Diceros bicornis minor: one gene and its partners. The protein of the gene in region 2 interacts with the protein of the main gene of each other region in a biochemical or structural test. Links are inferred from orthologs where the notes say so. Each region holds a gene or a part of one and is shown on either strand. Other genes may lie near its edges. The genes, in order: CYSLTR2, MAGI1, FCHSD2 and ADRB1.

Region 1 (7,781 bases), on a different chromosome or scaffold from region 2:
TACTAAAAATACTCAAGGTGATCCTGACACATAGCAATGAGTATGTTGCAAAGATATATCGTCTTTCTTCCAAAATGAGTGTTGCTTAGATGATGAGGGTACGCCGCATGATCCCAGATGGATAGGGAGGCAGGATGGTATAATGAATGAGAACATGTGCTTTTGAGTTAGAACAGACCCAAGTTTAAGTCTCAGCTCTGCCTCTTGGTCACTCTTATTACTTCACCTTTCTGAGCTTCAAAACACTTATCTGCATAGGGAGGACTAGAGTGAGTATTGATGAAGAAAATGGATGGGAAGTGATTAACTTGGTGCCCTGACACTTGGTAAGTTTTCAGTTGATGCTAGCTAACGATAACAATAAGATTTGAGACAACAATGAACAAAACTCATGGGGAATTAAATGGGAGGATTCTGTGTGGCCAAGTAAAAGGAGTTGGGACAATTTCATCTGAAAAGAGCCAACCAGAAAGACAAGAACAATTCTATTTAATTTACTTTACATTTTTACTACACCAGTAGTGAATGTTTATGGTAAAAAATAACAAGGTAATATAAGCTGAAATAAACTTAAATTACAAGATTTACCACCAACCAGACATATCTGAATTTTTGTGCATTTGCTTCCTTTCATGTTTCTTCAAATATTTTTAAACAAAAATGAGTGTCTATAATAATGCTGTTTTGTACCTTGCTTTTTTCTTATCACTGTATCATGATCACCTTTCTGTGCCAATTAATAAACATCATTGTCATTTATTTATTTATTTATTTTTGTGAGGAAGATCAGCCCTGTGCTAACATCCGATGCCAATCCCTCTCTTTTTTGCTAAGGAACATCGACCCTGGGCTAACATTCGTGCCCATCTTCCTCTACTTTATATGGGACACTGCCACAGCATGGCTTGACAAGCGGTGCGTTGGTGCAGCCCGGGGATCCAGACCTACGAACCCTCAGGCCACCGAAGCGGAGCGTGTGTGCACTTAACCGCTGTGCCACCAGGCGGGCCCCAACATCAACGTCATTTAAATGGCTAAAAGAGTATTCAGTTACATAGACATAACAAAATTTGTTTCAATAAATTTTTTACAATAATTATCATCCAAGTTGTAAGGAAGGGGACATGTGCCCTGGGCTCAACCAGGGCCAATTCTGGTTCCACTTTAGGAAAGATCCTATGTTCCCTGGGCCTCACCTTTGCCAGCTGTAAAATAAGAATTACACCCTCCAGCATGCAGGGCCATTATGTGGGTCAAATGAACTACTGTATGTAAACGAGTTTTGTAAATAGTGAAGTACTATGTGAACAGTTAGGTTCATCAAGGAAGGTGCTAAACAGATATTCTCCACCACTGAGTCAAAATAAGGAGAAATTTCGTTAACATCCTCTTGATCAAGTTAGGTTGATTTAAAAGAAGTACATCCCTGCTGTAGGCTATGCAGCAGCAGAGGCTTTGACTTGGTTTAGCTGCCTTTGGTCTATTCTCAATTCCTAATTGGAAAAACCAGAGCATAGCTCTGGTATAAACTCTGTCCACTCTCCTTCTCGGGACATGGGGTCCAGAAAAGTAAGTGCCATGTCTACGCTCCTGGATAGCCAGGATAATCCACTTGCTGCCTCCAAATCCAATCCCATCAGTCTTTGCTCTGCCTTTTAATATTATTAAAATTCATACCTATTAATAACATTTAATAGCAGCTATTAAATGCTCACCTTGTGTTTGATCCTTGAAGAGTTTGCAAATGAAAGGAAGTCTGGCTACCTTGGCAGGCTACTAACAGATGCTAGGCTTAATTTTGATACATTTAGAACATTCTGGACCCTCAACCTCTCTAACTTCTAACCACCAGAAAATGAATCCATCTCTTTAAAATATTAGTAAATTGAAACTCTCAAGTAGATTCTCATCTCAAGAGTTTATGTGGTTGAGATGAATGATAGAAATTTCTAGAAGTCTTACATTTCCCACAAATTACTCTTGCATTATTTATATAGCATTGAAAGGTAGACTTGAGTGGCTTGCCTGAAAGTGTACCTCCCTTCCCTTAAGATGTATTACTCTCAGGTATGTGTCAGAGACAGAAAATATTTCAAATAACCTAGATTAGACGTTATTATACTGGCCACCCATTTGAACCACCTGGTAGATTTTTGAAATTAAAAAAAAAAAAAAAACTACAGATGACTGACTCATCACCAAAAGTTAAGTTTCAATTATTCTAGGGGTAATTTTCTAATCTCCTCAGAATCAGTTGATTCTAAGTGAATCTATAGCCAGAGTTGAGTACCGCCAATTGAGGTCCCAAAGGGGTAATAAGCAGATTACAAGCACACACTCTTTCCCTCTCATTGTGCCTCTGAGTAAAACCACTGAAATCTGCATTCTCAAATTCAACCTCCTCTCCCCAAAGAACAAGACCCTGAATGGAAAAAATATAAGTTACACAATCAAATGACCCAGTCTATGAAAAATAGGAAAGATGCTATATGGCCCAAAATTGGAGAATGCTTGGCTAAAGGATAGTAAATCTCCTCAATGCAATATCATGCAGCAATTTTAAGTTATGATTATAAAGAATTTACAGCAACGTGGAAAAAATTTATGCTTTAACGGAAAAAATAAATTATCCATACAGTATGAAGACAACTATGAAAATCAAACTAAAATCGTATGCAGACACACAAAAAAGAATGGAAAGAAATACCCCTAAAATATCAATAGAGGCTAGCTCAGTGAAGGTTTTTGCTTCCTTCTACTTTTTTGTATTTTCCCAAGATTTTTTAAGCTATTGTGTATTTAGTAGAAAAAAATTTATAGTAGAACAAAATAAATCTGCTTTTCAAAAACTGTTCTTCTGACTATGAAGGAATAAGCAAAGGCTTATTCATCAATGAATTCACAAAGCAAAGATAAAAATGCTCACCTGAAGTTTTCTTTCTTTCAGCTGCCTTGGCTTCTGTCTCCTCTCCCTCTCCTGTCCTCCTCCTGCAAGTAATTCAGCTTGTTTCTTTAAAAGAAAAGTGAAACAGCAAATTATATATTATGAACAGCGTCAGCCAATAGCAAGAGAGTAAGGAACTTTGGTCAGCAGGTCAGCTGTGCTTTATAGAACTTGGTGTGGGTGTTGGTGCTGGCTTCCTTCTCAAGAAGGGGGGAAGATTTCCAGTTAGGGGCTACATCTGAGAGGAAGAAACCTGCATTAGCCCTGCCGCTCTAATGACTGTTTTTATTACCGTCTTTCACAACAGATCAAGGGGCTGTGATGAGCTAGAGTCAGGGGTTTTAAGCGGCTTTTAGTTCTCCTAAATGGTTTCTGTTTCCATGACAACAGTCACATCAACACCGCTTTACACGGACAACACTTTAGAGCTGTTTAGAGCACTTCCCGTTACCCACTAGCCTTTTCCAGGGACTTGGTACTCAGGGGGACCCTTACCCAATCTAGTGAAAATGCTCTGTCGAAGATTCCCAACAACCTCCTCATTGCTCAAGTAAAAGGTCCTTTCTCAGTCCTCATCTTCTTTCCTCAACTTGTTGCACGGTTAACCAATGCCACTTTCTTGAAACTTTCTCCCTGTTTCTCTGAGTCTCCTGGTTCTTTTTCTACCTCCCTTTCTGATACCTCTTCTTCCACCCCTTTTCTACATGTGAGCTTGCCCCAAAAGTTTGTTTTTTGAGCAGTTCCCACCGTATTCTCTTGCTTTTATCTACATTATCCACATCCACGACCATATTTAATATAGCCAAAACAGAGCTTTTCTCTTCCTCTCCCAAGCATACACTCCCCCATTTATTCCATCTCATCAAATGGCACCACAATGATTCAACCAGTTAATCTGTCCATAAACCTAGAAGTCATCTTTAACTTCTCTATTTCTCCCACAACCAACATCCAAGCCAACAATTCCATTTGTTCTACCTACAAAATATGTCCAAAATCCAATCATTTCTCACCTTCCTTATCCCCATTAAAATCCCCATCATTTCTTAGATAGAATGATGTAGTAACATCAGGCAAGAAATAAAAGTCATCCAAATTGGAAAGAAAGAAGTAAAATTATGTCTGTTCACAGATGATATAATCTTTTATGTAGAAAATTCTAAAGATTACACACACAAAAAAAAACCTGTTAGAACTAATAAACAAATTTGGCAAAGTGACAAGATACAAAATCAACACACAAAAATCGGTTGTATTTCTATACACTAAGAATGATCAATCAAAAAAGGAAATTAAGAAAACAATTCCATTTACAATAGCATCAAAAAGAATAAAATACTTAGGAATTAATTAACTAAGGAATTGAAAGACTTGTACACTGAGAATAAAACATGGCTGAAAGAAATTTAAAAAGACGTAAAAAAATGGAAAGATAGCCCATGTTCATGAATTGGAAGACTTAATATTGTTAAGATGTCGAAACTACCCAAATGGATCTATAGATTCAACACAATTCTTCTCAAAATCCCAATGATGTTTTCTTCAGGACTAGAAAAATCTATCCTAAAATTCATGTGGGATGTAAAGAGACCCCCAAATAGCCAAATCAATCTTGAAAAAGAAGAACAAAGTTGGAGGACTGAGACTTCCTGATTTCAAAAATTACTACAAAACTACAGTAATCAAAAAAGTGTAGTCTTGGCATAAAGACAGATAGATAGCCTAATGGTATAGAATAGAAAGTCCAGAAATAAGCCCTCACATATATGGCCAAATGATTTTTGACAAGGGTGCCAAGGTCATTTATGAGAGAGGACAGTCTTTTCAACAAATGGTGCTGGGAAAACTGGATATCCACATGCAAAGGAATAAAGTTGGACCCTTACCTAACATCATATACAAAAATTATCTCAAAATAGATCAAAGACCTAAATATAAGAGCTAAAACTATAAAACTTTTAGAAGAAAACAGAGGAAAGGCTTCATGGATTTGTCAATGATTTCTTAAATATGACACCAAAGGCACAGGCTTTAAAACAAAAATAGACAAACTGGACTTCATCAAAATTAAAAACTTTTGTGTATTCAAGGACACTATCAACAGAGGAAAAGGGCAATCCACAGAATGGAAGAAAATATTTGCAAATCACATAGCTGATAAGGGATTAACATCCAGAATATATATAGAACTCCTACAACTCAACAACGACAAAAACAAACAACCCAATTAAAAAATGGGCATAGGATTTGAACAGATTTTTCTCCAAAAAAGATACACAAATGGCTAATAAGCACATGAAAAGATGCTCAACATCAAAAATTATTAGAGAAATACAAATCAAAACCACAGTGAGATATCACTTCATACCCATTAAAATGGCTATTACAAAAACAAAAACAAAAAACAAGAGTTGGCAAAGATGTGGAGAAATTGGACCTTTGTGTACAGCTGATCAGAATGTAAAATGGTGCAGCCATTATGGAAAATAGTATGGTGGTTTTTCGAAAATTAATAACAGAGTTGTCCTGGGGCTGGCCTGGTGGCGTGGTGGTTAAGTTTGCGTGCTCTGCTTCAGTGGCCCAGGGCTTGCAGGTTGGGATCCCAGGTGTGGACCTATGCATCACTCATCAAGCAATGCTGTGGCAGCATCCCATATACAAAAACGGAGGGAGATGGGCACAGATATTAGCTCAGAGCTAATCTTCCTCAGCAAAAAGAGGACTATTGGCAATGGATGTTGGCTCAGAGCCAGTCTTCCTCACACAAAAAATAAATAAATAAAAAAAATTTAAAAAAATAGAGTTGTCATATGATCCAGCAATTCCACTTCTGAGTATATATCCCAGAGAACTGAAAGCAGGGTCTTGAAGAGATATTTTTATACCCATGTTCATAGTAGTATTATTCACAATAGCCAAAATGTGGAAGCAACTCAAGTGTTCATTGATGGATGAATGGATAAGCAAAATGTGATATAAACATACAATATAATATTATTCATCCTTTAAAAGGAAGGAAACTCTGACATATGCTACAACATGGCTGAATCTTGAGGACATTATGCTAAGTGAAATAAACTGGTCATAAAAAGACAAATACTGTATGATTCCACTTATACGAGATATCTAAAGTAGTCAAATTCATAGAGACAGAAAGTAGAAGGGTGGTTGCCGGGGCAGAAAGGAGAGGTAAATGAGGAGTTATTGTTTAATAGGTGCAGAGGTTCAGTCTGGGAAGATGAAAAAAGTTCTGAAAATGGATAGTGGTGATGGCTGCACTACAATGTGAAGGTACTTAACGCCACTGAACAGTGCCCTTAAAAACCATTAAAATTGTAGTTTGTCTTATGTATATTTTACCACAGTTTTAAAAAACAAATAATTAAAAAAATAAATTGGAAGAAGTCTAAAAAAAAAAAAAAGAATGCTGTAGGAACATCCTACCTAATCGTCTTCCTGTCTCCACTCTTGCTGTTCTACGGTCAAGTTTGTTTTTTGTGAGGAAGATCAACCCTGAGCTAACATCTGTTGCCAATCCTCCTCTTTTTGCTGAGGGAGACTAGCTCTGAGCTAACCTCTGTGCCCATCTTCCTCTATTTTGTATGTGGGTTGCCACCACAGCATGGCTTGATGAGCCATGCGTGGGTCTGCCCCCGGGATCCAAACCTACGAGCCCCGGGCCACCAAAGTGGAGCGTGCAAACTTAACCACCATGCCCCGGGCCAGCCCCTACAATCAAGTTTTTAAGGAGTAAATCATATCATGTCTGTCCCCTGCTCGCAACTCTGCAATGACTTCCCAACTTTCTCAAAAGAAAAATCCTTATCACGGTCTACAAAGGCCAGACCTGCTCAGCCCCTGCTACGCATCTCTACAACTTCATCACTAGCCGTGAGGACTTCCCTGCTGCTCCTCCAGGCACATGTGCTGGAATGGCCCTGAACCCTCACTCCCTCACTTCACTGGGGCCTCTGCTTAAATGCCGCCACCTCAGAGATGACTTCCCCAGCCTCCCTTTCAAGAAGAGCTCCCCCACACACACTCTATCCCCTTACCCTGCTTTATTTTGCTTTATAGTGCTCATCACCATCACTCCTTCTTCTAATATTGTATATTTGTTTGTAAATTATTGGATTCCTATGCTATCTGTGCAGACTTCTCAGACTCCCTGGGGTTCTAGCTGGAACATGGCCACCTCAGAAGAGCTGTTAATGCTGCAGCTGCCCTTGTTCTCTTCCCACGCTTAGGCCTGTGGACACTCCAGCCTTCATGTCCATTTCCTCACCCTGCAAATTGCCACCTTTGGCCACCGCTAGGACATAGAGCTACACAAATCATATGTTCCAACATATCTGAAGAAGAGGCCACACAGCCCTTGGGGACACTAGGTTAGGGAATTCTCAGGTATCCCGGACACACTATAGACAGGGCAGTGGGGATGGGTGGTGGGCATACCTCTTTGCCCCACAGACTCCCGCCCCCTTGGGACAGGAAGGGCTGGAGGAGGACCAGAGAGGGGTCCTCAAAAGCATGGCCCCTAGGGCAGTGACTCCTCAAGCCCAAGTCTACTAGTGGTTCCGCCTTCGTAGTCCCACCCCAGCCTCTCTTTCAGGTCACATTTCCTCTTAGTGGTCCTCTTATTCCCAAGCCTTGCTCCAGTCAACCTGAACTATTTGTTGATCTCCAAAAATAGAAAGCACTATTTTAGGGCCTGAGAGGAGCACAAAATTGTGAGAAGTTTAGTTGTGCTGGATAGAAAATAGCAAATGCTTCCTTGAAAATAAACAAGGAAGGCTTTGTTTGCTTTGCTTGTAGTTTGTTTCCTGGATCTATAACA
Region 2 (7,340 bases):
TTTCCTCTACCATGTACCAAGTATGAGCCTAGCTAATATGATTAAAATTAAGACACTAATGAAGACACAGGAAGATCAATTCTGTCGTATACTTTAAATCACATTCTCGATATGAAAGAGGGAACAGACGACTGGTGACATGCTTTCTAGTGCCATCTTTCTTTAATAAAGACGTCAGAAGAGCCAACAATTTTAGGTTAATTATTACATGAAACAGTAGCTTTCACACTGTAGTGGATTCCAGGCCATTCAAGTGTCCCCATCCACATCTTTATTCTACCCTATTACAAGGAGAACAAGTAGATTTACACACACACACACACACACACACACACCCCTGCTATGAACACTCCTGTGAAGCACAGAGAATAGTTCTGGGTGAAGGGAGGTTACACTTGGAGACAGCACAGTTTCCCTCTAACCCAGAGGTGTCCAATTCCAAACACACCTGATCATGTGACCAACCTTCCTAAGTTCCATGATGAGGCAGCCCTGGGACAACGCCTCCCTGATCTTTGATAACTGGTGGAAAGAGGAGGATCAGCCACATTCAGCTTCATGCCCACTGAAAACAAGTCCCCATACAGGACCCATTAGACACCAGTAGACTCCCCACTAGATGAGCAGGTACCCCTGCTGTCCTTCCTCCAGCCCTTTCTCCAAAATGCCCCTGAACTGGGAACCGTAGCTGCTCCCATCAAATGCTTTGACACAGTATTTTCTCTACAGTTCTATCAAGTCCTAATAATCCAGGTACTGGCATTAAATTCATAATGCAGGTTCCTGACAATAAAGCTACACTTAGAAATAAATAACTGCTCAAATTCAGTTTAAACATAACAATAATAGCTCATCTTTATTGAGCATTTACCATGTGCCAGGCTCTGTTCTGCACTTTCCACTTATTAGCTTATGTATTATCCACGGAAGAGGCAGTTTACAGATGAGGACACATTCTCAGGTGAGTCAAGGTGTTGGACCTCAAGCAAAGCCTGGGGAGATGTGCAGTGAATGAGGCACAGCCTCTCCCTTCAATGAGCCTACCACCTTGGATGGAAATGAGGGAAGGGACCTAACTCACAGTTCAGAGCAAGTAAAAAACTACAAGGTACACACTAGGGGAGCCCAGAGGAGGAAGGCGTGTTCATTGTGGCAGGATGCTGGAGGGCTTCTTGGAGGAGGTGTCCAAGTGGAAGATGAAGACATAAATGGAAAGAGTTTTCCATAACTGTCAGCTCCTCAGCTCCCAAACCTACTAAAAGGCCCAATTCTCCCTGCCCCCTCCTCCGCTGCATCTGGAACAGGCCTGTTTCCAGGAGGACCAGACCAGCTCAGCTCAGCTCAGCTCAGCCCAGCCCAGCCCAGCCCTCCTGTCCTTTGACACATTCCTCTAGCTGCTACTGCCCTTCCAGGCCTGCAGGCACACATGGGAACTTTTCACCACGCTCAACTTGGCCACCTCCTCTGGTGCTTTCAACTTGGCCACCTCCTCTGGTGCTTTCATGCGGGCGAAGATGCATCATAACGCTTGGTCCTACAAGTGATCCCTTTAATGGAATCGAATCCTTCTCTGTTGGACTGACATAGAAACAGCCACTTGCCTGCACCAAACTGAGATATAAGGGACTCTCCACCACCAGCAGCCACCATAGAGGTCATCACTCCTCTACAAGCTTCAGAGAGAGAAATTAGCTTCCACTCCCTCCTCACGAGTCAGCCCCTCCAATCCCCCAGGGTCATCCCCCTACCTCCACCTCCTCAGTGCTTAAGGCTCTGCAGCAAGGGCTCAAACCCTCACTTTTGGTATCTGTGTGACCTTGGGCAAGCAACTTAACTAACGCCAGTCCCAGTTTCCTTATCTGTAATATGGGGTTTATAAGAACAACTCACTCTCAGAACTGTGAATCAGAACAAGGGAGTGCAAGCAAAGCATTTGACACAGAGCCTGGCACGCAGGAAGCTAACAGTGAATAGCAGCTACCATTATCATCATCAATGATGGTGGTGGTGATGGTGGTGGCAGCACAAACTTGGGCTTGATTTGCGCTAAGAAATACCCCCTCTCACCGCCCCCCACGCCCGGGGCTGGGCCACACGGTGGAGACACATGCGTCATCTGGCTGTAAGGTGAATGCAGGATCTTCAGGCCGCGGGCTTAGGAACCGCCAGGCAGTCAGGCCCCAACCCACCTGGAGGGGTGCAGGGTGAAGCCGATTTTCTGATGGAGGTTCAATAACTCAAGACCCTCTCCTCGTTCATACCCATTGTCCAGGTCTGGAAACAGACAAGTGGCAAAAGCACGCAGCAGTTTCCCCTGGCTGCATCACTCCCTCAAGGAGCCCAGAAAGCGTCCACCTCTGCCCCTGCCTCAGTTCCCCCACTCTCCAGGCGCAGGCGAAGCTGCGCTGCACTTGGTGGCTGAGATAACAGGTTGGCAAACCAGGGCTGGGAAACATCTCCCGCTTCCCTGCGCAAACCCAACCCCCTCTTCCCAACGCAGGTGGGCAAACAACCCACAACCTCCCAACAACTCTGCGTATTTCACCACGACAGGGCGCACGGCCTCAACTTCCCCCCTTCGCCCCGCTCGGAGGAGGAAAGCGCGAAATCGAGATGGTGGGGGGAGCGCACTCCGAAGACCGCTCCCCTTTTCTGGGGACGCCTCCCAGACACGCGTCCCGTCCTACCTTGTCTGACGGCTTTGAAGGTGACGGCCTCCTTGCAGCTGTCGATGACTCCCAGCACGTCATAGCGGGGCAAGCCGGACACCCGGATCCCCTGCACCTCCAGAAGCAGCTCCCCCTCGCCCAGTCTCGGGCCCTCGCCGCCGCCGGGGAGCCCCGCCACTTCGGCCGCCGCCACCGCTCCGACATACGGAAACTCCCCGTTCTCCGCGCCCCCCAGCACCGTCACCCCCAGCTCGCCCTGGGGTCCCCGCTTCACGGTGCATTCGTGAACCTTGCTAGTCCAGTGGTTCTTCTTCTGGATCACTTTCGACATGATGAGTTACACCCCTCCTTCCCCCCCCAAAAAATAATGAGAGACAGGTGCCCCCCACAGCACAAGCCCCCAAGCCTCCGCTGGTTCATGGGAGAGGCATCTCCCCTCAAGTAACGCAACGGGAGAGAGAAACTTGGCAGCCCCGCTCCCCTGCACACACTCGCGCACTCAAGCCATCATAAAACAAACTTTCTGGGCTTCCCCGCGAGCCCTGCACAAGCGCCCGCGAGCTTTGTCTGCATTCCGGCGCCTCTAGGTCCACGTTCCGGCGCCCGACCGTGCTCTCCCGATCAGAGTCCACTCTGCGCCGCTCGGGTTATTTTTTTTCCTTCCTTCCTTTCTTTCTTGCCTCTTAGAAACGCGGTGTCGCCTGTTCGCCTCCCGCCTGGCTCGCCTTTCCTCGTTGGCGGGCTGTTCCTGAGGGTGAGGGAAGCCCTTCCAGCCAGTTGCTGGGAGCCCTGGAGACGCGGTTGCGGAGCGGGGGTGGAGGGGAACAGGAGGGAAGCGCCTGCGGCCCCTTTAAGCAGATACAAAGGCTCGGCTTGTTTTGTTACAGTTCATTCTATTCCGCGCCGCCGAGCGCAGCGGCCGGCAAGAGGAGACGCGCGCGCATGCGCCCCGCGGCCGCCTGCCGGCCGGCCCGCCCCGCCCCGCCTTCCCAGTGGAAGAGATTCCAATGTGCTTCCCATTGGGTCCTAAAACCGACCCTCAGAAGACGGCAACTTACTGCTTTTCTTACACCTCTTTTATTCCTCCTGCTGCTTATCTTTCAGTGTCCTAGACTCAAGAAATCCCTTTGGGGCTAGGGGGACGCGCACGTGTTTTACTCCAACTGTTTGCAACTTTTGATATATGGGCAATCTGGCTTTGGCATTTTAAAACCATTTCAAACAGGTGGGGGTTGGGGAGGCTCGCACACTCACCCTCGCGCTCACACTCACGCACACACGCACGCGCTCACGCCGGCCTAAGCCTCCTAACCGCCCTCGGCCAGTGGCTGGCCACGCTGTCGGTCACCCAGCCCGGCTTGTCCGCCGCCGCCCGCCACATTTCCCTCTGATACCCCTGAGCCTGATCCGGAGGCGCGCGTCTGCTCCCCGCCTGCTCTGCGTCCGCGGGTTCCGGTCCTGGAGCGGCGTCAGCCAGTGTCTCTACGACCCTGGGGGATGGGGGCGGTGGGGGCCCCCTGGACCCCCTAACTGGGATCCCTGTTAGCGTCACACACTCCCACACACACATACCCGCACCCTTAAACTTTGGGGCGAACTTTTTAGGACCCACGGAAAACGATAGGCGAGGGAAAGAAGCCAAAAGACTAGAAGGGGATCGGGTCTTCCACCCAAAAGGGGGTCTAGCTTTTTAACTGCCCTTCCAGCAAAGACTTCTGGAGCCAGTCATCTGTCCCGGGCTCAAGTTCCTGGCTGAGCCAGGAAGCCTTCGGACCCGCCGAGGCCGGGAGATAAGGCTCACCCCCGGGTCTGGGATCTGCACTCGGTGGGGCGTGGGCGCAGCAGCCACCTCTCGGAATTCGCAGCCCGGGGGTGGGTGTAGAGAGAGCCTTCACCTCTGGCGCCGGCCTGGGGCGGGGGTAGAGCCAGCATCTGTCCCGGCGAGGTTGCAGAACGAACTTGGGGGCTGCGGACCTAAAAAAGAGCCTGCACCAGGAAGGCTGCCCACCCCAGATACTCCCCAAATCGGCCTGGGCGGTAGAGTCTCCCGAGCAATTTCTCTTTCTTAGTGATTTATAACTTGTTTGTTCATCTTTGGTCACAGGAGAGATTCCAAGTGCTAAATAAGGGAGGTACGTGGAAGGGATTCAGAAGCGATGGGATGCCGCAGCAGTGGGGGGTGAGAGCTGGGGTTTGCGGTTTGGGTTCCCATTGGTCCACTCTCTGTGTGACCTTGAGCAAGCTCTGTGACCCCTCAGAGCCTCCATTACTCTCCTGTTTTGTGAGTATAACAATACCTCACAAGGTTCTTGGGAGTATTGCATGCGACAACACTTGTAAAGTGCCCAGCTTGTAAAATGAATCCTTGTAAAGTGGCATATAACTTACATTATTATTAGCAGTAGTATTTAGAAAGAGAATTAGGAAATCATTTGGAGTTTCAAGTTAGATGATGATAATTATAATTCATCCCCACCTTTCTAAAGATTAAAATATGTAGGCGTACATTTAAATATTTTTAAAGCACTGTAGGGTGCTAGTCTAAGCTAATAAAAATAAGTGAAGAATGTTGATGCTTCTCTCTTGGGATGTCCTTGTAGTATTTGTGAAAGAAGGAAGTAGCCAATTTTCCTTGGCTCTTCTTGGTGAGGGAAACTTCATCTCCAGCCTCTTTTCTCAGAAGCAATCAGTTTGTCTCAAACTTGACTGGATCAAAATGAGTGGGAGCTTCAAAATGTTTATTCCAGAGCCCAAACACAGACCCAGCCAATCAGAATCTCAGAGATAGGCTCTATCATCTGTACCTTTAAAGTTCCCCTTAAGTGGTGCTGGTACCACAGGTCTAGCATCCTGATTGTTGAGCATTTTTTGTATCACATACTCTTTTGGAGATGGAGAATAAGCTTGTGGTCCACATCTTCCTGTAGAACGTAAGCTCCATGAGGGCAGGGAAATTTGGCAGTTTGGTTTACTGATGTATTCCCAGTTCCTAGAACAGTGTCTGGTACCTAGTTAATGCTCAAGTATTTGTTGAGTGATCTTCCCACAAAAGTGCGCATTTTTGCATGCCACCTTAGAGGAGAGTCCCAGATTCCCTACAAGTCACTAGTAGGCTTAATCTTGAGCGTTTCCCCACTCTATATTCTAGTAGTCTGATTGCTTGTCAAGAATTCCCCCACCTGCCAAGAATCAGTGGTTCCCTACCTCGCTGCTCAACTCGCACTCCCACCTGGAGGAGTCCAGTGGATGGGTGAGACCAAGTGTTTTGTGATTCCTCCCACTGCAGCAGCACCATCTTCCCTCTCCAGGATTCTAGGTGTCCCTAGAAGAGGACAGAACTTGGAATGTAGCACACTTCAGATTTTAGAGTGCAATAAGCCCAAGAAAAGAAGGGATACCTAAGGGTACAGAGGGCAGGATGGAGAGCAGTATAGAGAGACATACTATAATCCAAGAACATAAAAGAAATAATTGCAACCTCCAAAGCAGCTAAGACTGCCAATTTCCAGACACTCTTGCCCTCACCCTTTCTGTCTACTGTTTCACCTGGTCCAGTTCCTGTGTCCCAGACTGGAAGCAACTTCAGGGCAGAAATCATATCTGTCCCATGCAACTTTTGAATCCTCAGCACCCAAACCCATGCCTTGCGTGGAGTGTGCACCATACATACTTGTTAAATGAATACGTGCATGCATGGATGAAGTGTAATGTTAAATTGTATAATATGTGACCTTTGACACAAAGCCCACTCAGATTTGATGGCTGGAACCCAGGTATTGATAGATTGTTTCCCTGAAAGAGCTCATATTTACCTGGTCTTGAAGTAGATTTTTCTTGAATAGATGTAAAGTGGGATCCTAGTGTTGTGGCTTCTCTCACTTATGCTATGACTTTGGCAATACATTCCAATGAGGAAAATAATGCCATAAAATACCTAACTTTGAGGCTTATCATGCGTGCCAGGGTAGTTATGTGCATTATTTTAATTAATGATCACAACAGCCGTGTGCAGTACATATGACCTTGATTTTACATGAATGATCTTGATTTTATAATTGAGGAAAGTGAAGCTAGGGCAGTAAAGAAACTTGCTCAAGAGCTTGGAAGTGATAACGCTTGGATGTGAACCCAGAATCACGACCCAAAGCCCATGCTCAGAACCATTGTGCTATGTGGGTGTAGGATGTGGCGGTCTGCCATTTAGCATATTTGGGTAACAGCGTGTTTTTGGCTTCTGAATCTGCCACACAGTGTATGCACACTAATTCAGCACCCTCCTGTCTCCCCCCTTGCATCTGAAGGAATACAGTGTTCCACTCTGGAATCCAATCTCCTGTTCCGCATCTGTGGGCTCTGACGATCGAATGATTTACTGGAATGTAAAGAGGATTAATTTGCAAACATTTCTAAAGTGTTTGGAGATCTGTGGGCTGTGGTACAGGTGACGTGCCAAACGTCCTTGTACTGTTATTGCGTAAGCATTTCAACAATGCACTCTTAATAAACACAGTAGGTTCAGATGAGAAGTAAACCATAACATGATAAACTCAGCACAAATTAAGATCTTATTTTCCTATAGCTCGTTCCACTAAAGGGAAGAAAAAAACAAAAGCCACAAATATAAAATGTGCATTTCTTCTCTTTCTCCCAAATACATTTCTTCCTGAAGCT
Region 3 (7,529 bases), on a different chromosome or scaffold from region 2:
TACATACAGTTAATATTTTTCATGAAACCAACATGAAGTTGTATACCGCAGGAAAAAAGAGGCAAGTGATGAGGCTTACAGACCTAATTCCAATTTGATAAATGTATTTACTAAAGGGATATAAGAATTGCAGCCACTCTGTTTCAACACGCAAATCATCTTCTATCCTTTCCAAAAATATGTTTGTTGAACTGTCAGTGTTACAGGATTGTTAAATAAAATAAGTGGCGTTTCTTTCAATAAAATGAGTCATGCTTCCCTCTATAAAGAAAGATACTGATTTTCACAATGCTGGCAAGATATCTTACCTATCAAATTCAAAGTTATCTTGATTATGAATCCAGGTAACTTTAATGATAAAAATATGATAAACACATTTCCCACTAAATATAATGTTTAAAGACAAAGTTATATTCGTCATGTTCTAAAAAACAGTGCTAGTATATAATCATCTGAGGTTGACTGGCTCACCCCCAGATATTAACCATTAACCAGAGGCAGTTTAAAAATCTGTGTGAAATCCTTAAGGTCAATAAATGTTACAATTCAGTGGAATGATTATTTAAATAAGACTTTCTACTTCCATGATTACAATTTGACTGAAAAAGGCCCTTGTTTTTTCATAATAGTGTGTGTACGTTATAGGTTCTTCCACTAAAGGAAAAAAAGTTTGTATTGTGTTAGTTCCAGTTATAATTTCTAGCTGAGTCAAAGCTCTAACAGCCTTAAAGCAGGAAATCCAAAAGGAAATTCCATCATCAGTTCCCGGAGCTTGGTAACTCGAAGATTCTTTGAAACAGAGATACAGAACTTCTCCAACTATTTACTATAACCTTACCTCATATCTTCAAGCAAATCACATTCTGCTTGATGTTTGGCTTGAAGTTTCGTCATCTGTTCAACTTGAATGTTTTTCAGTTCTTGTGTAACTTTCACCTAAAATACACCATATATTTATGAAGGCCTTACTGCAACTTTAACAACAAAAAAACTTACTTAAGGAAAATATTTAAACTTGTCAGAATATATAGCTCTTGCTCACCTCTCCCCTGAAGACCATAAATTCATTATTAGCCAACTAATTTTGTTTACTGAAGATACTTAAGGAAAAAAACTAGCCAAATAACCTGAAACAGAGGCTAAATGAAAGTACACGAGTATATAAATTACAGATTCAAGAGGTGCAAAATAAACTGCCAGTCATTCCATTTCATGCACAAGCTCAGTACATATCTAAGTCTTCTCAGAGTTGTAAAAGTCTGCCTTCTTTTTCTTCCAAAAAAGATTCAAAGACATTAACACCAGGAGAAGTGAGCAGAGTGTAGGTGGGAGAAGGGAACATAAGAATGCCTAATATCTAATGACCGAAATTTACACAATCATGAAATTATATGCATGAATCGACTACATAAATTATTCCATAATGGCTGCGAGAAAGCACACAGTCTCAGGATGATGCCCTCCACTCGCTGACAGCGCATCAAATCAGAAGCTCTTTCTCACAAAGGAGAAAGCAAAAGTGACCTTCCAGCATATGCGGTGCCTTTAAGCCACCCCAGCAAGCCGGTCCCCGTGGCGGCTCCACTTCAAACAGCTAGAAGAGCAAATGGCAAGCTGGCCAGTGCCTCGCCCGCCAGGCCCGGACCCCAGGGTTCCAGGTCATAGTGGGCCTGGAATCCACGCCGCCGGAGCCAGGCTTCCCGGAGGGGTGGGGGTACGTGGGTGAAAGAAAAAAGATTCACTTAACTGGAGAAACCCGGATTAAGAAAGAAAGGAAAGGAAACAGACACGAGTGAGTTAGACATTCAGCATATCCTTGCCCACGAGGGGAGGATAGAACAGTCTCCTCCACCCAGCGCCCAGAGTAGACACTCAGTCACCATCTGCAGGATTAAAAAGACAAGGACACAGCCTCAGCCCCTGAGAAAGCTGGGGAAGCGGGCAGTGAAACAGTTCTCGAAGGGCGCAGCGAGAAAGCTGCTGACAAGCCCAGCGCACCCTTCACTCCCACCCCAAACCCAGATCGCGGGGCACACGCCACGCACTGCCTGGTTCTCGTTGTCCAGGGGCAGCACCAACGCCCCCTCGCACCTAGCCGGAGAGGGGGGCAGGAGTAGTGGGAGAAAGGCAGGTCCGATCAATGCTTAATTTTTTGTTTTCCCCTGGGGTGAAGGGCGGTAGCTATTCCAACTTCTTTTCGGCCGCCCCGTGGGAAAAGCAGGCCAAACCTTAAGATTAGGCTTGAAACAAATTCCCTACAAATTTGCAAATGGGAGAGGATGAACAAGCAGCTGGAGGGCTCAAACCTGGTGCAGACTAAACAATCACACAAGCACAAGGCTCTGCAAAGCTGCAGGGGCTCCCCCGCCTCCCCTCGGTGCAGCCCCGAGAATGCACTTTGCAGCGAGCAGCACTGCCATGCGCGTGCACACACACACACATGCACACCCGAAACTCTTGTGAAACGTCTGGGGGTCTTCCGCGCGGTGGAGGGCACGAGCCCCGGCCGCCCCTCCGTCGGAAAGGCACCTCACCCTCGCGCCCCCCGCCTGGAGCCGGCGGCAACTCGGTGACAAGCCCGAGGCGACAGCGGTCAAGGCCCCTTGCGGAAAGGGGGGAAGGGGCGCAGCGGTCGCCCCAGCCGCGTTCCTCGTATGCATCCCCCCAAAACCCCCCAGCTACACCCTCACCTTCCTCGGCGGCGGCTGCATGATGCTGAAGGGACATCAATCCTCCCCCCGACGGCGGCGTTAGCTAGGACGAGGAGAGGGGGCGGCCCAGCGAGCGGGCGTGTGTGAAAGGAGAGCCTGGGAACGAGGACTCGCCCCGGAGGGAGCAAGGCCGGCGGGCGGCAGGAGGACCCGGGTCGGAGAGCAAGTGTGAAGAGAAGGAGGCGGAGCGCCGCGAAGGCCTGGGCTCGGGCGGCCCGGGGGTGTGTGAGGGAAGGAGGCGGAGACCGCGAGGGGGCGGGGGCCCGGGAGCTGGGGCGCAGGGTCTCCCCGCTAGCCGAGCGGCTCGCTAGGAGCAGCGACGTCGTCCGGCACCCTGCCGCCGCCGCCGGCTCCTCGCAGACGCGGCCCCCCCCACCCCCAACTCGGGGAGCCCCGCCCGCGCTGAGCCCAACGCCCCCGCCTGGCCCCCGGAGGAGGAAGCCGGCGCCGCGCTCTCGGCCTCGGGCCCTCTGCTCAGGCCGCGGGAATTTCCGGCCCCGCCGCGCGGCGCAGCGCCCCGCTCCGGCAGCCGAGGGGACAGCTCAGACCCGAGCCGGGTTCAAGGGGCCGGGCCAGGCAACGGGACGGAGCGCGGCCACGGCGCGGGGCTCCGTATCGCGGCGGGGGACTGGGGGAACTAACGGATCTGTCGGCGAATGGGAGGAGTAGAAATGCTAGCGGAGCACGAAAGTCCCCCCGTTCTCTCCGAGAGTGGCACGTTCCAAACGCCTTCTGTCCTCCCTCCCCCACACTGGGAGCCGGCCGGGGGCTTCCCGCGCGCTTTGCCGCCTGCCCGCCGCGGCGCGCGCCTCCCGTCGGGGGCGCGCACGTGGGCGGGAGAGGGCTCTGCGGCGACGCACGCGCACAAGCCGCCCCCGCCTCCCGCCGGCTTTTGCAGCTGCGGTGTTTGTGTGTGTATGCGTGTGTAGGGGGCGAGACGCTCGGAGAGAAGTTTTTACAATGGGGAGGGGGGCAGCATGCCTATGGCAGTAGGAGAGTTCCGTTTTTTGCTGCTTCTCTGTCCTGCAACACCTTTCTCCTGAGCGGATGAGCCGGCCAGATAGACAAGCACAGAGGGGGCGGACATAGATAAGTCTTTCGCAGTCGGCCGCAGGGGCCTGGGGCGGGGTCTAGTTGCCCTGCAAAGAAAAAAACGGCTCTCTGCTACAGGGCATTCAAGTCAAAGAGCACGGACTCGGCTGGAAGGCAACCGTGAGGTCGTTAAGGCCAGAGCCTCTGTTTCACAGATTGGGAGGCAAGGTCACGGAGCAGGACTAGAATCTCTGCGTCACGGAGTGTTCTATGGGTTATAAAGAAACAGGTGCAGATGATAACCATAAGGAAAAGGAGAGGAGGCAGCAGGGCAATGGAGGAAGCCCTTATCTGGGAGTCAGGACCTCTGGGTGCCAGTCCACTCTGCCTGTCCCCGACTGGCTGGGTGAGCTCGGGCTTCCTCATCTGCCCGTGAGGATGTTCGTCCAGGCAGCCTCCCCCCACCCCACGTTCCTGCTCTGACCAGACCATCTTGGGGGGCGAGGTATCAGCCTCCCTTGGAGTCCATAGAAAAATGAAAATACCTCTTCTGAAGCCACAGGGCTGTGTGGAGGGTGAACTAGATCTCCCCAAAGTTTTATCAGAAGTTGGGGTCCCAGACACCTGTTCTCAGAAGTGTAGTGAGGCAAAAGAGGAAAGTGGGTGAGGCCTGGAAAGACCCAAATAACTTGCCTAAGACCAGATGGCCAGAAATTGGGAAGGTTGAACTTGAACCAAGGTTGTTTACATTGAGTTAGCCTAGATTCTTGTACAGGAAGGTGATAGAATCAGAGGTATGCTTGAGTCAGATTAATCTAGAGCTGTGTGTGAACTGGGAGGCCAGGCTTGCTATCTCTGGTTTCCCTGAGGCCATTCAAAAGTTGGCCCTTCACCAGAGTCCACAGTTACTATCAGAGAAGGCCTGGGGCAAGGGAACAGGTGGGTAGAGGCCCAGCTCTCTGCAAGCTGTGGGCCAGCAGCTGGAGCTCAGGCTAGAGGTAGCCAGACTGGGCTCCAGTCTCAGCTCCACCACCAAGTCATTGCGAGGCCTTGAGCTGGTCAGTTCACCTCTTTCAGCCTTTATTTCCTCTCTTGTAAAATGGGAATATAATACCAGCCTCGCAGACTTGTTGTATTAAATGGAGTTTCTCCTACCACAGGGCCTGGCACATAGTCAGTGCTCAATAAATACTCACTGATTCATCATTCATTCAAAAAAATATTTGCTAAGGTCCTGCTTTGTGCCAAGCCTTGTGCCAGACAGTGGGGATACAGGAGTGAGCAAGACCAAATTAGCTGAGGGCTTCACCAAGGCTGAGTTCCAGACCAGCTGTTCCATGAATGACATTGGGCTAGTGTGGGAGGGGTGACAATGGTTGCCCAGATGCAGTGTCCTGCACATAGGAGATGCTTAACAAAGATTTGCTGAATCCTAGTCCTGGGTGCAACTAGTCTGGCCCAGAGATTATCTTCCCTCTGGAAGTGAGCCCTGGGGTATAAAGGTGCTGGGTATTGAGAGATGGGATCCAGCCTCTACCACTGATCTGCTGGGCCTTCTCTGAGCCTTGGTCCTCAAATGCAAAATAAGGTGAGTGAGTGAGCCTGGAACTTAGTAGGCTCTTCACAGATAAAGTCAGTCCCTGGGGCTTTATTTTATGGATTTAGGAGGGCATCTTCCACCTGATTTGCTATTATTCTGAAACCAGGAATGGCAGTGATTTTCTGGAATGATTTCCTTTGGAGGTGTAATAAAAAGCTAAGGGGCAACACCAGATGGGCTCACCAGCTAACTCCTTTTTCAAAAATGTGGTGTTTTAAAAATATGTTTAATATTTACTAAGTGCTTTTCCAAACCCCAAACTTTCATATTACTTTTCTGACCTAATCTTCACTGTAATCCTATTAGAGAGGATTTTCTTCATGTTTCAAATGAGGAACTAGGGGCTCAGTGAAGATAAGTGACTTGCCGTGAAGTGATAGATTTGGGACCAGAACCCAGCTCTGCCGTTTGCATCTATGAGGAATGTTCAGAGGAATTGGAAGAGTTCACCCAGGAAAAAAGCAGACTCAGGAGGATGCAATCCATATGTTCCAAATGCGACAGGGATGGGGCAAGGGATTTCTGTGGCTTATGTAAGACTGACTTAAAATGTACCCCTTCGAACCAGGCTGGGGACTTCCAGAGCTTTGCTCCTGCAGTGCAGGCAAGCACTGTGTTCCCAGTAAGATCTCTTGCGATTCTTTGGGGGAAATGCCACAGAGCTGTCCCATGACCGCAGAGAAGCATGCACTGTGGCCCTAGAGACAGAACTGGGACAGGTCTCAGCTGCATCTAAGAAAGGAGTTTTTCCAGGCAGAGCCGCCCCTAGGGAGGGTGAGCTCCCCCATCCCTGGGGCTGTGGGAGCAGGTACTGGCTTCCTTCCATCAAGGAGGCCACAGATGGGATTCTCACCCTGGGACGAAATTAATATTAAGCTACTATTTATTTTGCCTCTTCCATATTTCAGGCATTGAATTAGGCATGTTATTTACATTGTTTCTCACCCTCACAACAACCCTTCATTATACATATGACCCCATTTCACAAACTTCGAACATTGAGGCTCAGAAATGAAATGACCTGCCCAAGGTGACACAGCTAGGACACGACGAGAGCCAAGCCTGGCCCTTGGCTCACTCTGGCTCTGAAGCTGTGCTCTCCCTCCAGCATGCGTGCTGCTGTGCAGTCTCCCAGAAGGAATGTTATTCTAAGTTTAAGTCAGAGCCAGGATTGGAAGCTGGCCTGGAGCGGGTATGTGAGCGGGCATTGGAAGATGAACTATTCCAATATTCCATAGGGCTCCCAGGAGAAACCCCAGAGAGGCAAAGTTTGCAGCAGCCATTGAGTGTGGCTAGAATGTAAACAGCACCCCACCCTGGTCCAGAGTGAGCACCCAGGACAAGTTCTCTCCAGGAATAGGTGATCACCATCCCATCTGTCCATACTGTACCAAGGCACCTCCCTACCCTTCTGCAGCTCTGTTCACAGCCCACTCTATTCCCTTTCCTGCTCTGTCATTATCCCAACTCACACTGGTACAGTCTGCTCAGGAATACCTGTCAGCCCATCCAGATGCCAGCTGTTCCCTGCCCGAGCCCTGGCGAGCCTAGCTAGGGATTTTGCTGCAGACAATGCAGTCTGTGGACCCCAAGCCCATTCATCTCCCTTCTACCCTAGTCGCCTTTCCCGCTGCACCTCCACCCACCAAACACACATACCCGCTTTTGCTCCTGGCTGAGCTAATCCCCTCAACGCATCCCTCTGGTCAGCCTAGTGTTGGAATGTGCCTGTCTTCTCCACTAGTAAGCTCTCAAGACAGAGAATCACAGCCCGCTGGACTGAGGAAGATCGGTGACCACCAGAAGATGGCAGGGGCTCTCCCTAGGATACAAAGTGAGTTTGTGGCAGAACTAGACCATTCCATCTAGCATCTCTCGGCTCAGCTGTAAGCAGGTCCCTGGGGTGAGGCCCAGGCCCTGCACTCCAGGAGCTCCTGAGCTTAACACGTGGACCAAAGGTCACAGCAGTGAGTCCAGGACATGCAGGGCCTAGGAGTCAGAGGGACCCAGATTCCACCAGGTGGTAGCAGGGGTCTAAGGCCAGAGGTGAGTCCCTGAGAGGCAGACACGGGGTCAGGGAATTACCTGGTCAGCTGGTGCCCCGGCCAGGGAGTGTTACAACTTGGGGTGGGCGTGAGGGGACAGCCAGTCCCAGGGCTGTAGTAGGAGCTGGCAGTCACATGGTT
Region 4 (7,955 bases), on a different chromosome or scaffold from region 2:
AGCCTATACTTTGAACGAAACAGTCTTCCATTGTCACTGACCCCTTACAGACACACGGTACATAATCTTGATCGTGCTTCATTGGTATTTATTGCACATGGACCAATTCCTCACACAGTAGTTAGTTGCACCAGAGTATAAATACTTGGTAAAACACAGAGGAAATAGAATTTACACACAAGTGCGAAATTTTACCAGCAGATTCATGTGGGCACTTGGACATAAAAAAATAATAAAAAAAATCCTTAAGATAATTATATTTATAATATGGATACAGTTACAGTACCATGATAAAAGAGTATAAAAAGCTATTTTCCCAATAAATCATTAGCTCAATAACATAATAGACAACAGAAGTAGAGTTTGAATTTTATTTTAGTTTTCAAGATCTGCACCCACCCCTCCCACTCCCGTAAAAAATATTTAATTTCTTTTTGTGCAAGTAACATCTTCTGTGGACTTTGCAATTCCTAACACTGTGCAAAAATGGCATTTTGAACCACTCCTTTTTTTATGTTTTTTGTTTTTACCCACATGTGCAGTAATCTGAACTGTTTCTACTTTTTTTTTTCCTTTTTCTGTCCTGTCTTCAATGGACAGAGTCACATGTCACAGAGGCTCGGCGCCTGGTCCTTCCAACTAATATTGATACATAAATAAGCTGTTTAATATAAACAAGTCTTTCTATCGTGCTGTGCAATGTGCACAGTGTGAGGTAGACACCCCTTGGCCTGACCTCCGAGGCGCGTGGGGACAGCAGGCTTGTCCTACAAAAGGAAAGCAAGGTGAGGCTTGTTCCAAGAATAGCTTAAAATTTCTTGAAACGTGATTTTGCATCCATCCTTTCCCTTTATTTTAAGAACAGGAGAAATCATGACTCAGGAATTAAAATGAAATTTTTCTGGAAAGCAAAAGGAAACACGTCCTGACCAATGGTCATCGCCCCCTCTCTCTCCGGCTGCCTGCTCCTGTTCCGAGAATGGGATGGAAGCCAGGTTGACAGACTTTTATGCCCTGATGCTTCTCCCCCCTACCCGGTCCTCGCAGAAAGTGTCAAAAACCACCTGGAAAAAAAAAAAAAAATCTAAAGATGCATCACACGCACACACAAAAGATGACCGAACCACAAGCAGAAAAAAGAACCCAAGAAAGATAAGCAAGCTACTCTCCCACCCCTCCCAAACTTTCCTTTTTGTGCAACGGTCCGTGGCTCTTCTGTTTGTCTTGGATGATTCAGACGAGGTTTGTGGGCTTCGAGTTCACCTGCTTTCGGTCTTGAGTAAACACAGATCTCTCTCCCCTGGGAAGCCATTCAGGGGCGCCCGGGCTTTCTTCCTCCCGGGGCGCAGAGCCTGCGTCCCGGCTGGGGAGGTGGGGAGGGACGCCGGGCCCTACACCTTGGATTCCGAGGCGCAGCCCGGGCGGCTCGGCTCGTCCAGGCTCGAGTCGCTGTCCGCCGCCGCCCCGCCGTTGCAGCCGGCCCAGGGCTCCAGCAGGCGCGTGGGCGGCGCGGCCCCGATGTCGTCGTCGTCGTCCTCGTCGTCCGCCCCGGGCGACGGCGGCGGCCCGGCCACAGCCAGGCAGCCCGAGGCGCGCGCCCGGTCGCCGGCGGCCGCGTGGCTCCCGCAGGCGGCCCGGCGCGCGCAGCAGAGCAGGCGCTGGAAGGCCCTGCGGAAGTCGGGGCTGCGGCAGTAGATGATGGGGTTGAAGGCCGAGTTGGCGTAGCCCAGCCAGTTGAAGAAGACGAACAGGCGGTCGGACACCAGGTCGCGGTGGAAGGCCTTCACCACGTTGGCTAGGAAGAAGGGCAGCCAGCAGAGCGTGAACACGCCCATGATGATGCCCAGCGTCTTGAGCGCCTTCTGCTCGCGCAGGGCCACGAGGCGCGAGGGCCGCCGCTTGCTGGCGCGCCCGTTGGCCAGCTGGGCGGCGGGGCGCTGGGGCCCCGGCGAGGGCGCGGGCGAGGGCGGCCGCGCGGGGCCGCTAAGGAAGCGGCGCTCGCAGCTGTCGATCTTCTTCACCTGCTTCTGGGCCTCGCGGAACACCCGCAGGTACACGAAGGCCATGATGCAGAGAGGCACGTAGAAGGAGACCACGGACGAGGCGATGGCGTAGGCCCGGCTGGTGACGAAATCGCAGCACTTCGGGTCGTTGTAGCAGCGGCGCGCCTCGTCGTTCTCTGCCCGCCACCACTGCATGAGGATGGGCAGGAAGGACACCAGGGCCGAGATGGCCCACACGGTGCACACGAGGGCCCGCGCCCGTGCGCGGGTCAACAGGCTCTGGTAGCGGAAGGGCGACGTGATGGCGAGGTAGCGGTCCAGAGCGATGACACACAGGGTCTCGATGCTGGCCGTCACGCACAGCACGTCCACTGAGGTCCAGAGCTCGCAGAAGAAGGAGCCGTACTCCCAGCGGCCCCACACCACGATGGTGGCCCCAAACGGTACCACCAGCAGCCCCATGACCAGATCAGCGCTGGCCAGGGACATGATGAAGAGGTTGGTGAGCGTCTGCAGCCGCGGCGTCTTGGCGATGGCCACGATCACCAGCACGTTGCCCGCCACGATCAGCAGCACGATGAGAGCCATCAGCAAGCCCATGCCCGCCGTCCACTGCTGCGACAGCGGCGCGGGGCCCTCGCTGGTCGGGGTCAACAACGAGGCGGGCGGCGACGCGGGCACCAGCAGCCGCGCCGCCGTGGCCGCGCCGTCGGGGAGCGGCGCGGCCGACGACAGGTTGCAGGGCTCGGAGGCGCCCAGGGCGAGCGCCCCCGCGCCCATGCCGAACTGCGGAGGCCGGGGGCGGGGGGTGTGGCGGGGCTGGGCCGTGGTTGGGGAACACCCCAGAGGCCCGGGCGGCGGGGCGCGCCGAGGGAGGTCGCGGCCAGGTCAGGGCAGCCGCGGCGCGGGGCCGGAGGCATGGGCGCCGGGCGCCTTCCCCGCCAGAGCCGAGCGCTGTCGCCGCCGCCGCCGCCGCCGCTGCTGCTGGAACAGCTGCCGGGACCTCAGCATGTTTCTGAGCGCGCTGAGCCCGCAGACCCGGCACCCAGCACCCACTCCACCCAGCTCGCACTCCCCCAAGCCAACCCCCGGGGCCTCGCGTCAGGCTCGTGCAGCCAATCCCGGCAAAAGGCACGCCCCTATCTAGTTCCCCACCAACTCCCCGCACCACCCTCCCACCGGCAGTTCAGCGGCTTGGGGAGTCCGGGACCGGTCGGCGAGCTAGCGCCTCCCCGGCGCCCACGGTTCCTGAGCGCGCGCCCCTTCCTGAGCCCGCTAGTTCCAGCGCCCTGTTCTCCTTGGCCCGCGACTGCGCCCGGCTCCCACTCGCGTCCCCGCCCCCTCCTTCGGCCCCCACTCTCTCCTGCACTCCGCTCTCTCCTGCACTCCGCTCCCTCCTGCGCCCCTTCTGCCTCTGGCGTTTAGCTCCCTCCTGCGCTCCCGCTCCCCAGGCATCCCCTCTATCCCCAGGGCGCAGATTCCCTGCGGAGCAAGGCGCGTGGTCCCTTTAGCGGAGAGGGGACCTCGGTGTTCTCGAAGGGCCAGAGTGCCTTGGACAGTCTGTCCGCCGGGGTTGGAGGAATTTGGCTGCCAGATTGATTCTCGGATGGGGTAGCCTAGCAGAGTGTGTGTAAAACCCTTCCTCTGTCAAGAGGGGACCCAGCCAGGCTGCGTCCTGCCAGCTCCGGGGATCGAGCTGATCGGAGGCGGGTGTTAGTGGGTAGAGGAAACTTTCCAGCAGAGCGCCTTGCTAGAGCAAACCGCGCATCTGTCAGGAAAGCTCTCTGAGCACTGTTCTTGCAAGGAGCTTCTGTTGTTCCGGCGCGGTAGATGCGTAAAGGAAGCAAAGGTTTGTGCCTCTGACAGCTAACGCTGAGGATCAGTTGGAAAAACACACACTCCCCAGTCCCAGCTAATGAATGTGTGAGTATGATGCAACAGTGTGTGTGGATAATATAAAGACAGAGACTTAAGGAAACACAAATGTTAACGCAGAGTAAATGACACCGCCGCGAAGAAAGAACACGTTTAATTACATTTCGGACTTTTCACATTCAGTGATAACACCTATCTTTTGTGTTTATTCCTCACCTGATTTTATAATTTGAGCTAGGTCAATACAAACAGGAAGGCACTGTTAATTTTGGTTGATGTAATGAACTGAGATTTCAGATTTCTTGATCTGCTTGATTGTTTTCCCCTTTGCCCAAGTTCCTAGATTCTCGAAGCTTTAGGCTTAGTTTTGGAGAGATGAGAGAAGAAAATATGTAAATACTAAAGAGGATTAAAATCCCATAGCATTTAAAGTTGCATCAGTCGTTTTTGAGTTGGCAAATGAATTGGTTTGAAATTAGTGAGTCATTAGCCTAGTTGTTGGTGGATTATATGTGCAAACTGACCACGGGATAGCCACTAGGAACACCCGAGGCGGCAGCAGGACTGAAAGCGCCTCCTCTAATTCCACCTCGGTAAGGTTCTCAGCTGGACTTGAAAATACAAAGCCTTTTTTTTTTTTTAAGTAATTAATTAATTTATTTTTTAATTTTTTGTTTATTGCAGTAACATTGGTTTATAACATTGTAAAAATTTCAGGTGTACATCATTGTACTTCTATTTCTGCATAGATTACATCATGTTCACCACCAAATACTAATTACAACCCATCACCACACACATGTACCGAATTATCCCTTTCACCCTCCTCCCTCCCCCCTTCCCCTCTGGTAACCACCAATCCAATCTCTGTCCCTATGTGTTTGTTTATTGTTGTTATTATCTACTACTTAATGAAGGAAATCATGCGGTATTTGACCTTCTCCCTCTGACTTATTTCACTTTGCATTATACCCTCAATGTCCATCCATGATGTCACAAATGGCTGGATTTCATCGTTTCTTATGGCTGAGTAGTATTCCATTGTGTATATATACCACAGCTTCTTTATCCATTCGTCCCTTGATGGGCACTTAGGTTGCTTCCAAGTCTTGGCTATTGTGAATAACGCTGCAATGAACACATGGGTGCATGTACCTTTACAAATTGGTGGAAAATACAAAGCCTTTAATTGAATCCATGAGAAGTAAACAGCTTCTAATTACCCATGTAAGGGTGCATGAAAATGTTATATAATGCTCACACATCTTTCTAGTGTCTTTCTTACTTTGCAGAGAGACTGACTTCCGTAGCTACCCAAGAGCTAAAAGCAATGCCTATTCATTTTATAAAGTCAAGCATTTTAACCACCTTCTCTTACTGAAATGCAAACATGTAAATTTGCTTTAGGCCCAAACTTGATAATCAAAGTGTTACAAGGGAGTAGGAGTGGGTGATTTAGTTGTTTATTCACCCGTGCCCCAGGACTTGTTAACCTAGTTCCGCCAACTTGGGGAGGTGGAGCAAGGACAGGAGAGGGACTAGAAAGAGCGGAGGAAGGGGGACTGCACCCTGAGTTCAGTGTGAGCCTTAGTTACCAGAGTCACTGCAAACCTGTCTCCCCTTCCTCTCCTTTCTGTTCGCTCTCTCAAGGGGCAGTCTCAAAATAGCCAAGGGATTGGAAAGAGCTGAGTCTGATGCTGCCCGGGAAAGGGATTCTGAGTGCTGGGCTGTGTGGGGTGACGTGTGGGGAATGTGGGGAGGTGGCTTTCTATCCGGCGCCATCTTTCTCTCAAGTGGTGTTCTGGAATCATCTGTGCCATCCGTTAAGTGCCCCTGAAGGGCAAAGGGCTTGCATTTCTGTGAACGATAAGGCCAGAACTTGTTTGTAGAGGTTCCATGCAGAGGCCTGGATGCCAGTACCTTTACTGTATGTATAAATATGTATGTATTTGTATACATACGTGTATTTGTATCTGTATGCATGTGTATGAATGCACCATGTGTTCTGGCATGAGATTTGAATTGTCCCCAAACTCTCCGTCTCATTCAGAAATACATCAAATTTCTCTGATATCTGGATAATAAACACATTAAATCATAAATATTCAAACCTAGGTGGTTATTTTAATAAAAGTTCTAACATAGGGCTGTAGGCGTGAAGGGATCCCAGGGATTCTTGGGGCTTTCCTTCAGTCGTACTGTTGGAAATCTTTGGAATAGTCCCTATTTAACGAGAGTTAACTTTCTTTTAAAATAAAATGTTCTCGGATCTCCTGTAATTCGTATATTTTATGGCACCTTTTTTTTTTTTTTGACATTTTTGAGCTAACATTTTTTTGTCCTTAGATAAGGATACAAGATTAAGAAGAAAAGGCGAAACATATCCACTTATACAGGTATGACATGTTGCAAGTGCAAAATGAATGACTCCTCCATTTCACGATTCCCCACTCAAAACTGTTCTTCGGAACCCACGGATGTGACGATAGTTTAGAAAGCAGCAGAGGGCACCAAGAACAAATGCTGTTGAGCACCTCAAGAGGTGATTCCTGACCCTCCTCTACTTTCCCCTCCCACTGCCATCACACCTCAACTTGCCATGGGCCCTCTGATCTCCTGGCCCCTGGTGCTCCTCACTCCGTTGAATCTGGCATACCATAGCCAAGTTAGTATTTCTAAGACACTGCTTTGACCAAGATGCTTTTCTGTTCAGAAACCTTAATGCCTCACCTTGGCATTCAAAGCCTTCCACAGTCCAGTTCCAAATAGCCTTTCCAGCCCTATCTCGTACTAGAACTCTCCATATCACCCTGTCTTGCAGTTCTGTATTCTTTTTCCTTCTTTGGATCTATACTCTTGTTCCTTTTTTTTTTTTTTTTTGCATCTATACTCTTTCTCACTGAGTTCCTTCCACCAAGAATCCCCTCTCCGTCTCTGTCTCAATTGATTCAGCCTTCAAAATCTGGCTGATACCTTTTCTGTTTTACAGTCATCAGTGCCCACTGCTTCTGGAAATGCCCTCTCCTTCTTCTACCTATAGTAGTTACTCTGCTAATGGCATTTCAGGTGGCAATTAATATATTGTCTTTTGGCATCTCTCATATTGTTATTTAATTTTTATATGTTTTTCTCCTCATTTGGATTGTAAACTTACTGAGAGGACTACCCAATACATTTTTATATCTCCTATGTTTACTAATATTTACTTAATATTAATTAACATTAAGCTTTGATTCATAAATATTTAGTGGTTAATTGATTAAAATATTCTCATATTTACTAGTATGAGAAATAATTGAGTGTTCTTGGAGTTACAGTCTTCCCTCATGCTTATAATTTACAGTAATAATTCTTATTCGTATAGCATAGTCAATATTTTCATATAAACGTTTCAAAATACTTTACAAATACAAGATAGGCTCATGAGATAAATAAATTTATATCATACCTATTCAGTAATGAATAAGGTGGGGCATAGGTAAGAGGTTTTCCAAAGGGGCCATGTAAGTCCACATCAGTGACAAGCACTGCATAATCTTCATAAATATTCAAGATGAAGGACCTTTTTCCTTAGCCTTCATTTATGATGCTATATATCCAGGCATTTCTGCCCTGGGAGAATAGCTGATGACTTGAATCTAGTTTCAAGATCTAAATTAAATTAAAGGTCTGCACAGCAGTGATTAATAGGCCACCAGCCCACCTATATTTGTGAGCCAGGAGCTTGGTGAAGACATTTCCATCCTTGAGTTGACTTGACTAGAAAATGAGATAAAAATAAAAGCGAGCAGCCTAACTGGACAACTGCTGGAAGGTAGGCCAAAGGAAATCTGGGGGGAGTTTCCAAGTAAAGCCCCAAGAAGTGTATCAAATCAGTAAGTTAGCAAAATTAGCCTCGAGGCTGATAATTGGTGGCGGGTTTGTTAATCAGAGCTCAAGTGGCTGTTTCTGAAGAAAGATATACAACTTTTCACATAAAGCAATCCTGCTGCTAAAACAGTCACTCAGTGCTAACCAGCCAAGAACAGCCTGCACCCGTGCTGGTGCTGAGGTCATGTACTGGTTTTGCAGCCACAG

The links.
Region 1: the proteins of MAGI1 (region 2) and CYSLTR2 interact in a test that uses a peptide from one of them, tested with the Homo sapiens proteins (2 studies listed by IntAct, with this or other methods). The link is inferred for Diceros bicornis minor from reciprocal best matches to the Homo sapiens genes MAGI1 and CYSLTR2.
Region 3: the proteins of MAGI1 (region 2) and FCHSD2 form a complex in vitro, tested with the Homo sapiens proteins (2 studies listed by BioGRID and IntAct, with this or other methods). The link is inferred for Diceros bicornis minor from reciprocal best matches to the Homo sapiens genes MAGI1 and FCHSD2.
Region 4: the proteins of MAGI1 (region 2) and ADRB1 interact in a test that uses a peptide from one of them, tested with the Homo sapiens proteins (2 studies listed by IntAct). The link is inferred for Diceros bicornis minor from reciprocal best matches to the Homo sapiens genes MAGI1 and ADRB1.

What each region holds. Positions count from the first base shown.
Region 1 is NC_080748.1:28,486,082-28,493,862, forward strand, and holds the start of CYSLTR2 (cysteinyl leukotriene receptor 2), read right to left. Parts: upstream 3,004-7,781; 5' UTR 2,927-3,003; intron 1-2,926. UniProt on the Homo sapiens protein: Receptor for cysteinyl leukotrienes. The response is mediated via a G-protein that activates a phosphatidylinositol-calcium second messenger system.
Region 2 is NC_080741.1:65,066,377-65,073,716, forward strand, and holds the start of MAGI1 (membrane-associated guanylate kinase, WW and PDZ domain-containing protein 1), read right to left. Parts: upstream 3,013-7,340; 5' UTR 3,001-3,012; coding exon 2,688-3,000; intron 1-2,687. UniProt on the Homo sapiens protein: Plays a role in coupling actin fibers to cell junctions in endothelial cells, via its interaction with AMOTL2 and CDH5. May regulate acid-induced ASIC3 currents by modulating its expression at the cell surface.
Region 3 is NC_080746.1:57,687,344-57,694,872, reverse strand, and holds the start of FCHSD2 (F-BAR and double SH3 domains protein 2), read right to left. Parts: upstream 3,017-7,529; 5' UTR 2,712-3,016; coding exon 2,691-2,711; intron 937-2,690; coding exon 839-936; intron 1-838. UniProt on the Homo sapiens protein: Adapter protein that plays a role in endocytosis via clathrin-coated pits. Contributes to the internalization of cell surface receptors, such as integrin ITGB1 and transferrin receptor.
Region 4 is NC_080745.1:77,464,148-77,472,102, reverse strand, and holds ADRB1 (beta-1 adrenergic receptor), read right to left. Parts: upstream 3,010-7,955; 5' UTR 2,784-3,009; coding exon 1,392-2,783; 3' UTR 72-1,391; downstream 1-71. UniProt on the Homo sapiens protein: Beta-adrenergic receptors mediate the catecholamine-induced activation of adenylate cyclase through the action of G proteins. This receptor binds epinephrine and norepinephrine with approximately equal affinity.